3 linked regions of the Oryzias latipes genome follow. The protein of the gene in region 1 interacts with the protein of each later gene in a biochemical or structural test. Links are inferred from orthologs where the notes say so. Each region holds a gene or a part of one and is shown in the gene's direction. Other genes may lie near its edges.

Region 1 (4,279 bases):
ATCAAACACATTGGGAAACACTGATAAGGTTGGGTTGGCATAATGTAAATTCTCATTAACCATTTGCACTGTAGTGGTTCATTTTGGTCTCAATGGACTATCTTTCAGAGATTCTGCTTCCTATTTATTACATCCTAATGGATATCTTAGCCTCCATGCTTCTAATTTGTCAGTATAGGACTCAATGTGTAACCACAAGGCTCTTTAGAACAGAAGATTGTCTTGCTCCATTTAGATCGAGAACTGAAAGATTTCCTGGATCCTGGATGAAGTGGTGACTCAAACATCAAACTTCTATGTTTTATCAAAAACATGTGTCCATGGCAATTGCTTAGAATGATTCCTTAGAATTTGATAGTCTATGTTTATGCTGTAATTGGTTTTTATCTAATAGGTACCATCTGCAGACTACAAGTTTTGATTTTCTGTTCACTTTTGATACGCGCAACCTGATTCTGCTAACGATTTTTCCAACTTTAAAGAAGTCAGTATTAAATATTGTAAAAAAAATAAAATTATAAATATTTGGCTAAATCAGTGATGTGACATTGTCCATTCCTGGTAGGTTCCATTCCATACATGTTAGTGTTTCTCCGCTCGATTTAATTTTGTATTACTGCTCAATTTCAGTCTCACTGATACATCCAGTTGGAGCAGTTTGATTTATTTCAGAGCTAGATTGGTTGGTTTACTGTAAAGTAAAATAGTTAAGATTTAGACTGACTCCTATTTTACCTCTTCAAATTCTCCTCAGATCTTATCTCAGAGTTTCCATTTGTAGCAACAATATCTTGCACTCTTAAATGTTGAGTAAATATGACCTTGTTTACTTCTGCGTCATGGAACATGAGATCCGGCAAAGCTCCTTCATTGTATTAATATATTACATCATGATACAGTTGTGTAGATTGACAAATATGTGTGTGGTGTTAGTCATACATCTTATCTTATGGCTGACCTATCACCATCACTCTCCTCTATCAGTTCTGGGGAGTGACTCATCTGCAGTCATGTGGTTCACTGGTCATGTGAGACATTGTTCCACCATGAAAGTGAGCAGGAAAAAAAGTGTCTGCTCGTGAGTCATGTCATTATCCTAGCTTTGCTTCTTAATATTAAACATTACCACCGCTCTGTATTGGAAAGCAGAGTAATTATCGGAAATAGACCAGCCTAGCTAACAATAAGCTTCCATTAATAAACTGGACTGTCAACAGCCATGGAAAAGAAATCAGAGCAGCAACTGGCTGTTACATGCGGAGTCATATAACCAGTGTCGTGTGACGGTAATGTCACAGTTATTATAGTTTTTATTTTAAAAGAAATATCCTTTAGCTCAGTGTTTAGCAGTTTGTTGGATCCCTGCTCAAAACAAGTAATTTAGCATTCTAGTTTATCACTTTGGAAGTCTCAGCATTAATGCTGTTGTGCAGCTTTAAATCTGTCTTACAATCCAAATGATCTATTTCTTCAACTTGAGCTTCAGTTTGATTCAGAATTATGTTGAAAGTCTTTCATTTTGATTTCCTGTAATTTCCTGTAATTCAATAGTAGAAGGTAAAAATATTTGTTGGAGGAAGGAGCAGCGAAACATTAGATGAACTGCAGTCACAGGAAGTGCAGTCCTGAGTGAGTGAGCCAAAGCAGATGTAACAGTTCACTAGACATTCAGCGTAAGTCTGCCTTCTTCAAGCTGGTTTTTCTTTCTTTTTAAAAGAGTAAACAAGATTGAATAAGATCGAGAGGGCAGACTTTCGATAATGGCATAATTACTTGTGTTTTACTGTAACTTTGTTTTCTGTTAGGGGGTCTGCTCTGGTTTTAAAATTGTTCATTTGGGTCAAGTATCCAAACAGAACCACTGGCCCCTTCTGACTTAAAGCTGAGATGAGCCTGGAGAGGAATGTAGGTTGTCACCAGAGCTATTTTGGCAATGTCCAGTCGCTAATGATTGTGATCACAGCGGAGTGCGCAGCAGTTGCTTTACTTGCTTCTTTTTCCTACCAGCAAGTGTGATCATGCTGCTCTTACAGGCGCTGCAGGGATTAGGGAGTTAAACAAATGGCGCGTCGGCTCCGCTTGCATTTCGCGTCAAGGAGAAGCAACACGGACCCCCTGTCACAAAGCCCGAGCAGCCACGATGAGGAGAGCGGAGTTGGTGCGTCTGTACGTAGTCCCACACAGAGTCTGGCGCACAGTTCTGTCCACTTGAAGGTGACTCCTCTGTCACCAGACTTTGCCAACAGTCAATACTCTTCAGTTTTCATACCGAGAGTTAACACTGGAGGGTGTAATACGAAGAGCGTTCTACAAATCTCACTGCAGCCCTGTGGACAGCTCAGTGGAGAGCAGGATGGCAGCATAGAGGATGGAGACCCTGGGGTTAATGAAGGCGGCGGAGGGTCGTGCCACAGCAGCATGGCAAGTGATGCTGGTTACTGCAGCAGCAACAGCATCTTTGAACCGGAGCCTCCAGAAAAGCACAAGACCAACCACGAGAGAACTCGACTCTCCTGGAGAACCAGAGTCCCACTGCGGAGGTGCTCGTCTTTGGTTATATTTCCAAAAAGCCCCTGCAGCACTCCACCTGCCTCCCCAGTGAGTTCAGGAGCTTTGCCACCTCTCCTGCCAGCAAGAGGATCTAGTCATTCAACTCCTCAGTCATCTACCAATACATTTTCACAAGACGACGAGGAAGTAAGTTACAAAGGGTCCACCACAGCTGCAGTCAGTTGCCAAAGTCAGCCAAGAGGAAACTGTTCAGCAGCTGAGGACTCGAAACACACGGTGCACTTTAATCTGCCTGTACAGGATAAACAGCAGTCCAAAGCTGAGAGCAGGAATGCAGGGGCAGAAGTTTCATCAGCTCCAGACAGGTCTAATCGTCACTCAAGTAGTTTGCTGCTGCATTTTACCCCCCACAGTCCACAGGGCTCGACAAAGGCAGCTCTCAGTAAGGATGCAAATGTGGAATATCCAGAGGCTCATCACCCTACTAATCGTGCTGAGCATGTACATGATGGGAAAAAAAAACTGTATCGCAGTACCTCTGCTTGTTTGTTTCCTTCTACAAAACCATCGCCCAAAAGGAAGCCTTGTTTAACGGGGAATGGCCAAGACTGGTCTGAGGATGGTCGCTGTCACCGTGCCGTGCAAAGGAGTTTTTCCCTCGAGGTGCCGTACCCTAACACCGAAATTTCATGTCACGTTTCAAAACCGAAGCTCAGCAGCTCTTATTCTCCCCATGTGCATATTCATTTGTCGCCCTGTTGCCCCACAAAGTTGCCCAACTCTACCAATGATGTAAACACAAGCCATAAATGGAATAATGAAACAAAGAGTTCAGGTCAGAGCACCAAGGTGAGTGCTATATTTAACGCTAACACCGACTAACAGCTGAATGCCTGAACTGGGATGTTGTGAAAACTAACATCTGTCAGAATTTTTTTTTAATGTAGATTATTGCCATATAGTTTTTCTGTGACATAAGTTCTGCTGAAAAAGTTGCTAAATAAGTCTAGCTTACAAAGATGTAATCTTACCCATCAGGATACTATTTAAAACGGGGTAATTGGTGCAAAATGCAAATGACAGGGTTTTATAAAATATGTAAATAACAAATAATTTAGAATTTTTGCTACCAGAAAAAAAATAGTTTCAATAAAATTTAAAGAACAATGCTACATATTAAGTACACATTTGTTTTTTCTAACTCTCCTTTTCATTTACTACCACTAAAGTGTTGCTTACAAGGGTTAGCCTTCAGGCTTTGTTCAAGACGTGCTGTAACTCCATAAGATCTTGAATACAAAGTCACGCAAAGAACAAGTACAGTGTGGACAAACACTTAGAGATATTGATTTACATTATATTTAATCCTTCCAAATGTGGATTTCCAAATAATGTGTGAATTGCAAAGACATGGTTCTTTACCATCTTGGGGGCATAACAATCCAATGTTGGGCAAACTCAACAGTTCCCTACTTTTATGATTCGGTTAGCACTATGAAGGATCAACTTAAGTATATCCCAAGGCTAATTTTAGTGGTGGGAAAAGTGCTGCCCCTTGCTGACTTAAATAAAGGGGCTCTGAAATATTCCCCCTGACTCCAGATAGTCTGGTGGACTGAAGCACTGCTTGGTCCTGTGGATTCAAATTTAACAGCATGATACTAGAGCAGCACACAGTCATGCCAGCCATCTGTGGACATGGCATGTGTGTGCGTGTTTCCCAGTACGTGTGCTGCCTGCACTGTTGTTCGTCTTCCAAGCAATGTTT
Region 2 (4,095 bases), on another chromosome or scaffold:
ACTCCCAGAGGTCATTTTTTTAAAGATATATATATATTAATTTAATCAAATTTCTGTGTGTTTAGGCTCAGATTCCATGTTTTTTTACACGGTGGATTACCAAAACACTCCTGGTCCGGCCCTTCTTGCAAATTTTAGAACCTTTTATGGCCCAAGAGTCAAAATGTTTGCCACCCCTGCTCATCCAGACTTATCCAGACACATCCAGACTTATCCAGACTTATCCAGACCATTACATGTTTGAGATGTTTCTTTCAGAGAGACCATATAGACAAGAAGCCTTGAAGTCCACCAGGACCAGCTTTTAGTCCAAGACCGGTGATTCTGGAAGCTATTTGATTTTTTTAAATATCTATTTTCCAAGAATGAGTTAAAAAATGTTCCAGTGTGATTAAAAGATGAAACACAGATTTTCTTTATGGAGCAAAGGGAAGCAGAATTAGGCTGTTGATTTTGCAGGTCTGTAAAATAAAATTGAGACAAAAGACAAGCAAGTTCAACAAGATAAACATATAAGTAGAACACAGGAAATCAAAATCCAACTCTTCTAACAGAAATGCTCCCAAAACAGTTGATATTTGTGAATCTTTGCATGTATTTATTTAAGTACCCCCCCTGGTTGACACTCTGTTTACCCCATTACATTTCTTCTCTTATCACAAAGAAATACTGTTGAAATAACAACATAAAAGAAGTGTCATGTAAAATACCACATTGCAGATATCCTGTTTAAAAAATTTGGGGTAGATTTGTTTTGGATGTGAGCCAGCCTTGCACATTTTGTGGATCACAAGGGAGACTTTTTTATCATATGTTTGTAAATTGTATCAACACAAATATATCTTGGACTGATGTTTGAAATTATATTAGCCCTAAAACTGGGAGAACAATCAGACTTTCAGAATAAGATGTAATTTCGGGGTGTTATGATGACATCACAGACCAGAACTATTTTTTATAATAACGTTTATTTTGTTTTTAGGGAAATTTCTTAATCATAAAAAGAAATGGTCAAACTGCAAACCAAACTTTGAACAGTCTCTGCATGAAATACAACAAGATGGTAAAATTATCAAACAAATTAAAGCAAAAAAGCCAAATTTAACAAATTTCTTCTGTTGTACTGTGACTGTCAAGGTCTGTCTATATGTCTGTATTGTTTTATTTTTTTTCTCCTTGGCAATTTGTTGTATTTTTTTGTTTTGTTTATAAATCAAATGTATTAATTAAAAAAAGAAGAAAAAAAAGTTCTCTTGTAACTTGCACTCTGTTCAATAAAGTTGCTCAAAAAAATCTAACAAGACCAGCAATTTGCGTCATGACGTCATGACGCAAACTGTTGTCAGACCCCCCTCATTTAACGTTCATTGTTTGAGGCAGGACTGCTGAAAAGGTGAGGTAAGTCTACACAACAAACGGCCTATTTGGATTTCTGTTTCTGAGAAAAGATGGAAAAGTTGAATAATTTAAAAACTTTCTTTGAATGCTAACGGGCTGAAACTGTTCGGTCAACTTGATGTGGGTTAGCCTGCTAACGTTAGCGCCTAGTACTACTAGTGCTTGGTTTGCTGTTAAATTAAACAAACCAGCGTGAACTCTTTTTGCATGTTTTTCAAGTTTGATGAATTTATGTTAGTTGTAAATAAAATAAATAAAAAACACGATTTAAATTGGTAGAAGCTGCTCCAGCGCTGAACAGTCGTCTGTTAGCCTAGCTTAACCCCTCAGAAAGATGTCGTAACAAAGAGCTGGAAAACCTTTTGCTGTCACACATTTACTGCACTTCTCGTCGTCAGCAGTTCGATTGTTGTGTGTTTGTTTTCGTCATTGTGAAGCTGCTTCCAGCAGTTTGTTGTGTTTGCTCTGACAGCATTTAGCATGAGCCTCCTAAAGGATCAACAGCAAACTAAAACAGGCTCCAGCTCTGCTGCACTTACCTAACTTTGAAAGACTTTTATTGTGAAAGAGCTTCTAAATCACTGATCTTTATGATATAAATATGGGAATACCACTGTCTGTTATTAATATAGCTGCTTTGATTTTAAATGTGGAACATAATATCCTAAAAACAAACCACTGACACCTCAGATTATTATACAAAGAGTCGACAGTGTCGATGCTGTGTCACTCATAACTGACTCCTGCTGGACCAAAAACACCATGAAAGGCAACCAAGTTAAGAAACGCAGCTGATAAAAATCAAAACACAATATTTGTCGTTCCCATGTCTGGCTCTATAATGCCCCAACATTGAGGAGGTGCTTTTCATTTTGACAAATAACCTCCAAAACATAAAAAGATTCATTTCAAATAAGAGTCAGTTTGAAATGGATCTGTATTCTGCTAGATCAAAGGGGAAACCGAGAGGAACGGGGGACAAAAAGCCAAAAACACGAAAAAAACTATTAATTCCACAAACCTAATGAAAAAAACCCTACACCTTTAGGAAAGACTCCGTCACATAAAAGGTCAAACACTTGTTGGCGGGGAAAACGGGGGCACACGAGCGCGAGAATCGTTCAACATCTGGAAGCTGGGCGCACATCCATTAGTTTTTTTCCTACAGCTGATTTTGTTTTAACATTCTGAAGCACTTTGTGAGTCGCTCTCGGAGAAAGGTGCTATATAAATAAAGATTTACTTTACTTACTTTCTTACAATGTTAAAGTCGCCGGCAGACGGGTGTAGACGACTCTTTCCATGCGGCAGCAAAACGTTTCGGAAAAAGTGTGCATAGAAAATGAGCCTCGCCATGCAGAACACTTTGCTGAACGTGTGAATTACGTGTTTTTGACACCAATTTAACAGCTGAAAGTTCCTATTCAAGCCTAAGAAAAGTCTAATACAAAACAAGCCAAATTATATTCACAGCAGACATTTGAAACGTAAAGGGAAATGAATTCTTTTTTTTCCCCCAAAGTTGTGCACAACTTTATCAATGAGCATCTGTTTCATTGGACAGTTATATAACCCCGAAGTACTACAAATACTAACATGTATTTCTCTGTGTCTGTAATGCTTCTCGTCGTTAATCACCAGCATCTGTTGACTGCAAAGAATTGTGGGATTGTATTATCCTGTCCAAAAAATCCTTTCCTGTCGCCAAAGGAATTATTGAAGGAAAACTTTTTCATTGAGTTGAGTTCAAATGTCTGTTTTGGTTATTTGTGGGTCGTTGCACACAGAAAAGGTTTCGGTTAGGGTCTGTTGCCTCTGAACCGCATCACCTCTGTCCTCTGAACTGTTGCCGTCTCCTGAAGTCCTTTAATTGCTTTCAGATTCAAAACTGCATGTTTTCGTAGGCAGGATGTTGCGCCTTCGTTGCAAGACCAAAAACGGGAGCCACATAATGCATGGTTTGACTCACCAGTCCTGCGTGCAGGAGCTTAAGAGCAAGGTGGAGGAGCTGACGGGGATTCCCTGTGATGTACAGAAAATCATGGTGGGTTACCCGCCATCCAGCCTTGACCTTCGAAATGGAGACGCTCACCTCAAAGACTACCCCATCAAATCAGGTACGTCCAGCAGCGGAGCAGCCTTTAAATCTGCTAGTATGATAGGAGAGGTAAACAAACTATGCCACAAATAATAGGAACTATTTTCAAGCTAAACGCCTTTCAGTTTTATTTTGAGTTTTAGTGTAGAACCAAACCCAGTTGTGGTGATGTGGTAGGCAGTTCTGTAGAGGGGCGGGTGTCCCTACATACCATAATAAGCCGGTGTGTGACTCAGCGCTGTCGTCGTCTCCACAGGAGACACCCTGATTGTGGAGGAAGAAAAGAACAAGCCGAAGCCTCTGGACCAACCGGTCGTGAAAGCTCCGCGCCTCGACGCCTCGCCTGTGCTGGCACGCCGCGTGGTTCCGGCGGACAACTCCTGCCTCTTCACCAGCGTGTACTACGTGGTGGAGGGAGGGGTGTACGACCCCGCCTGCGCGCCGGAGATGCGCGGCCTCATCGCCCAGATCGTGTCGAGTGACCCCGCGGCGTACTGCGAGGCGGTGCTGGGGAAGACTAACGAGGACTACTGCGCCTGGATCCGGCGGGACGACACCTGGGGGGGGGCCATCGAGGTCTCCATACTGTCCAAGTTTTA
Region 3 (3,426 bases), on another chromosome or scaffold:
ATCCTGAGGTGGATTCTCTTTCCTGTTTCTCGACGAGACTCATCAAGAGATGCAAAATGTAGACATGGCAAAAGAATCGCAACAAAGTTAACTCAGACTAAAGTCTGACAGAAAAATTAAAAGGAACCCTTAAGAATGTGGGAAACAAAATTGATTTACGGGTAAAAGTGAGTCATTTATTCCAAAAAAACTGAACACATATTTGTCCAAAGGATAAAACACTGCATATTACTCATGAAAACATTGTCTCTCTCTGTGGATGCTGATGTTCTGTTTGGACTTCCTGACCTAAACGATTTCTCAGCAAACACTTTGGCTCCTCTTTCATTAAGACACTTTTCCAGTTAAGAGTGCTGCTTTGTGATGCAACAGATGGTCTGTGAACTCACAACACACTTGAGGATCCAGCTGCTGTGAAAAGATAGGAGCCGCCAGCCAAATTAAACTTTCAGAAGCTTGTCCTAAAGAATCAGAGTTCGTTTCAGACTCCAGAGGCGTCGCCATGATGTTCTGTGCCTGTTTCTGTTTCATCTGATGAAGACTGACAGTTTCCTTTGTGGATCTCTAAACAGAAACACGTTTAAGGACAAAGCAGCTTCGAAATGGAAGGCTTTGAAGGAAGCAACGCTCCTCTGAACTTACTGTTGACCGTCCATCCTGAGAAATGGACTCCTTTAACAAAAATGACAAAAGCAAAGCATTGATGTCATTCTAGAAAAAAAAAGTATTTTATGATAGTAAATTTGATATCTGTATAAAAGAATTTCTGTGTATAGCTGGAAATTTGTTTGGTTGTGTTTAAATACATCTGATGAAATGAGGTAGCATTTATTTTTATTTTTTTATTGTCTTGTATACTATAATTTATGTTAAATAGGTAATAAATATTAAGGTGTTGTTAGACAGCAGCATTAAAGAGAAAACTTTATATTGTGTTTTTTCCTAAATTATAATACTACACTGTAGTTAATTATATTAATGGCTTGTTTTTTATATAAACATACAAATTAGATGTTCATCTTTATATGAAGCATGTTTACATAACAAATGATGTATATTTTTTACATAAGCTGGTGTGTTAAAATGTCATTTAATAAAATAGCTAATGAAACCTTTCCTGACTGATTACATTTTAGATTTTTCTTTGTCCATATCTTCAGTGGAGCATTCCTTAATAATGAGTAGTTTATATGCTACAGATTACAGTTTCAAGACAAAATTAGTTTTTAAAATTAAGACATTACATTTTTTATTGAAATATAAAGCATGTTAGATGTTTTTATATAATTTCCTAAAATACAATAAATTGTCTTGAAGCATATTTTAAAAAAATTGCATACACTATAAAACAGGTGCAAACTTCAAGATGGTTTCTTCTTTTTACTAAAAATAGAGAAACAGCGCCCTCTGCCGTCGCTGTGAGAACAAGCATCCAGCTTGTTTAGCTAAGCTAACGTGGGAGCTGCAGAGATGGACGACGGGGACGAGCCGGGTTTGGTGCTTTCTCACACCTCTTCGGGATCCAAGACGGGGAGTGACAAGATGTTTTCCCTGAAGAAATGGAACGCTGTGGCCATGTGGAGCTGGGACGTGGAATGCGACACGTGTGCGATTTGTCGGGTACAAGTAATGGGTAAGTGTTTGACAGCTAGCTTGGGACGCATACCCGGCTAACCCGTGCTAGCTTAGCTAACACGGACGTGTTTGGTGGATGTAGGCTGCTTGGTGCTTTAACTTTATTTCTGACACTTTTACAGACGCGTGCCTCCGATGTCAGGCGGAGAACAAACAGGAAGACTGTGTCGGTAAGACGCCCCGAGCTCTAAAAGTTGCATCAACAGCACAATCGGTTAACCGGATATGCTAAAGAGCGTTATCATCAACCCTGCGTCCCACCACAATAAAAGCTCAGGCGCGCAGCTTTCACGATATTGAAAGAAAAAAGTTATTATTATTATTTTATGTAAAATACAACAAAAGAACATAGAACAATAACAGTGAGAATGCCAGAGTTTGGCACATACACTACAAAACACATTGTAATACATTAAAAACATCCAACCATAGACAGCTTTCTTAATGTTTTTGTAGTTTTCTTACATTGGCAACAAAATAAACACTGAAAACAAAAAAACTGTTTTGTGATTTTTTTAAATTTACCAAATAGCCTGTAATAAAGAGATGAATTGCCACTTTTATGTTCAAGTTCATGTTTTTTAATAATTTGAATAAAGCAATCGTTCGTTATACATGTCCTCCATCATCAAAAAACAAAAAAAATCACAAGAACATGATAAGAACGCCAAAAACGTGATTTTCATTGGAGGTGGTCTTTAATAGTTTGAGACACAATCAAACGAACTTTAATGTTCTTCCCTTCTTCATGTGAAGATTTCTCTATAATCTGTCACAGAAGTCCTGCTGTGTTTGTGAAAATAAGAGTACTAATGAAAACGTACATGTTTCATACAATATATTGTCTTTGAACATGTTTGTCATTCAGTTTTTAACCTGTTTGTCTGCCTCCATCTTCCAGTTGTTTGGGGGGAGTGCAACCACTCCTTCCACAACTGCTGCATGTCCCTCTGGGTGAAGCAGAACAACCGTTGCCCCCTCTGCCAACAAGACTGGGTGGTGCAGAGAATCGGCAAATGAGGACTGAGCCCGTGTTTTCTTCAGAGCCGTCCCGGCCTTCTCCTGTGCCGTCTTCCTGCTCGCCATCGCATGTTTCCTGTAGTCACAGCGTAAAAGGAGGGCGGGGAACAAAAACGCGTACAGATCAGCTGCTCTACCCCTTTAGAAGCCTCATGGAGGGATGGATGACAATTTACAGTGTTTGACATTTAAGATTAACTTTGATGTATGTTGCGATGTTTGGCACAAGAAGTGGTTTTTATTTTAGAAATAAAAGAATTGTGAAAGCTGCAGGTCTGTTTTCATTTGAATAGTTTCCATTAATCCTATATAACCATTTGCATCATATTTTATACATGCCTTCCTGAGACCCCAATATTATTAACATGATCCAAACTTTCTTTAAAAACCATTGGTCCATGTTTTCTGTCCTGTAATTCATCATCATTCCACTAGGGGCAGTAGAATGACTTTTCCTGCTGATTTCAAAATGGCTGTTTCCATGAAATCTCAAAAACACTTGACGGGAAACGTTTAGCTAATTTTCTAAATTTTATGCTGAGAATAACTCATCTATTGTTTTACACTTTTCTAAATGACTACTGAAAAAACACACAAGTCTTTGATAATTAACTTTTTATAACACATTGACCCAATGTGGTCACATTTACCCATGGGTCAAATGTGAGAGTGGATAAATAAGGTGATTTTATTTTCCCCTAAACACTAATTTTTTTTTCCCTAAGAACTAATGTCAATTTTTTTGCATCTTAAAATTACATTGTTGTGAGA

What was found.
Region 2: the proteins of nedd4 (region 1) and yod1 form a complex in vitro, tested with the Homo sapiens proteins (2 studies listed by BioGRID, with this or other methods). The link is inferred for Oryzias latipes from reciprocal best matches to the Homo sapiens genes NEDD4 and YOD1.
Region 3: the proteins of nedd4 (region 1) and rnf7 form a complex in vitro, tested with the Homo sapiens proteins (2 studies listed by BioGRID, with this or other methods). The link is inferred for Oryzias latipes from reciprocal best matches to the Homo sapiens genes NEDD4 and RNF7.

The regions. Positions count from the first base shown.
Region 1 is NC_019861.2:21,566,873-21,571,151, forward strand, and holds the start of nedd4 (E3 ubiquitin-protein ligase NEDD4), read left to right. Parts: upstream 1-1,479; 5' UTR 1,480-2,061; coding exon 2,062-3,360; intron 3,361-4,279. UniProt on the Homo sapiens protein: E3 ubiquitin-protein ligase which accepts ubiquitin from an E2 ubiquitin-conjugating enzyme in the form of a thioester and then directly transfers the ubiquitin to targeted substrates. Specifically ubiquitinates 'Lys-63' in target proteins.
Region 2 is NC_019863.2:31,016,624-31,020,718, forward strand, and holds the start of yod1 (ubiquitin thioesterase OTU1), read left to right. Parts: upstream 1-1,295; 5' UTR 1,296-1,393; exon of another isoform or gene 1,394-1,398; intron 1,399-3,278; 5' UTR 3,279-3,307; coding exon 3,308-3,515; intron 3,516-3,752; coding exon 3,753-4,095. UniProt on the Homo sapiens protein: Hydrolase that can remove conjugated ubiquitin from proteins and participates in endoplasmic reticulum-associated degradation (ERAD) for misfolded lumenal proteins.
Region 3 is NC_019871.2:22,564,810-22,568,235, reverse strand, and holds rnf7 (RING-box protein 2), read left to right. Parts: upstream 1-1,412; 5' UTR 1,413-1,470; coding exon 1,471-1,633; intron 1,634-1,757; coding exon 1,758-1,805; intron 1,806-2,536; coding exon 2,537-2,655; 3' UTR 2,656-2,926; downstream 2,927-3,426. UniProt on the Homo sapiens protein: Catalytic component of multiple cullin-5-RING E3 ubiquitin-protein ligase complexes (ECS complexes), which mediate the ubiquitination and subsequent proteasomal degradation of target proteins.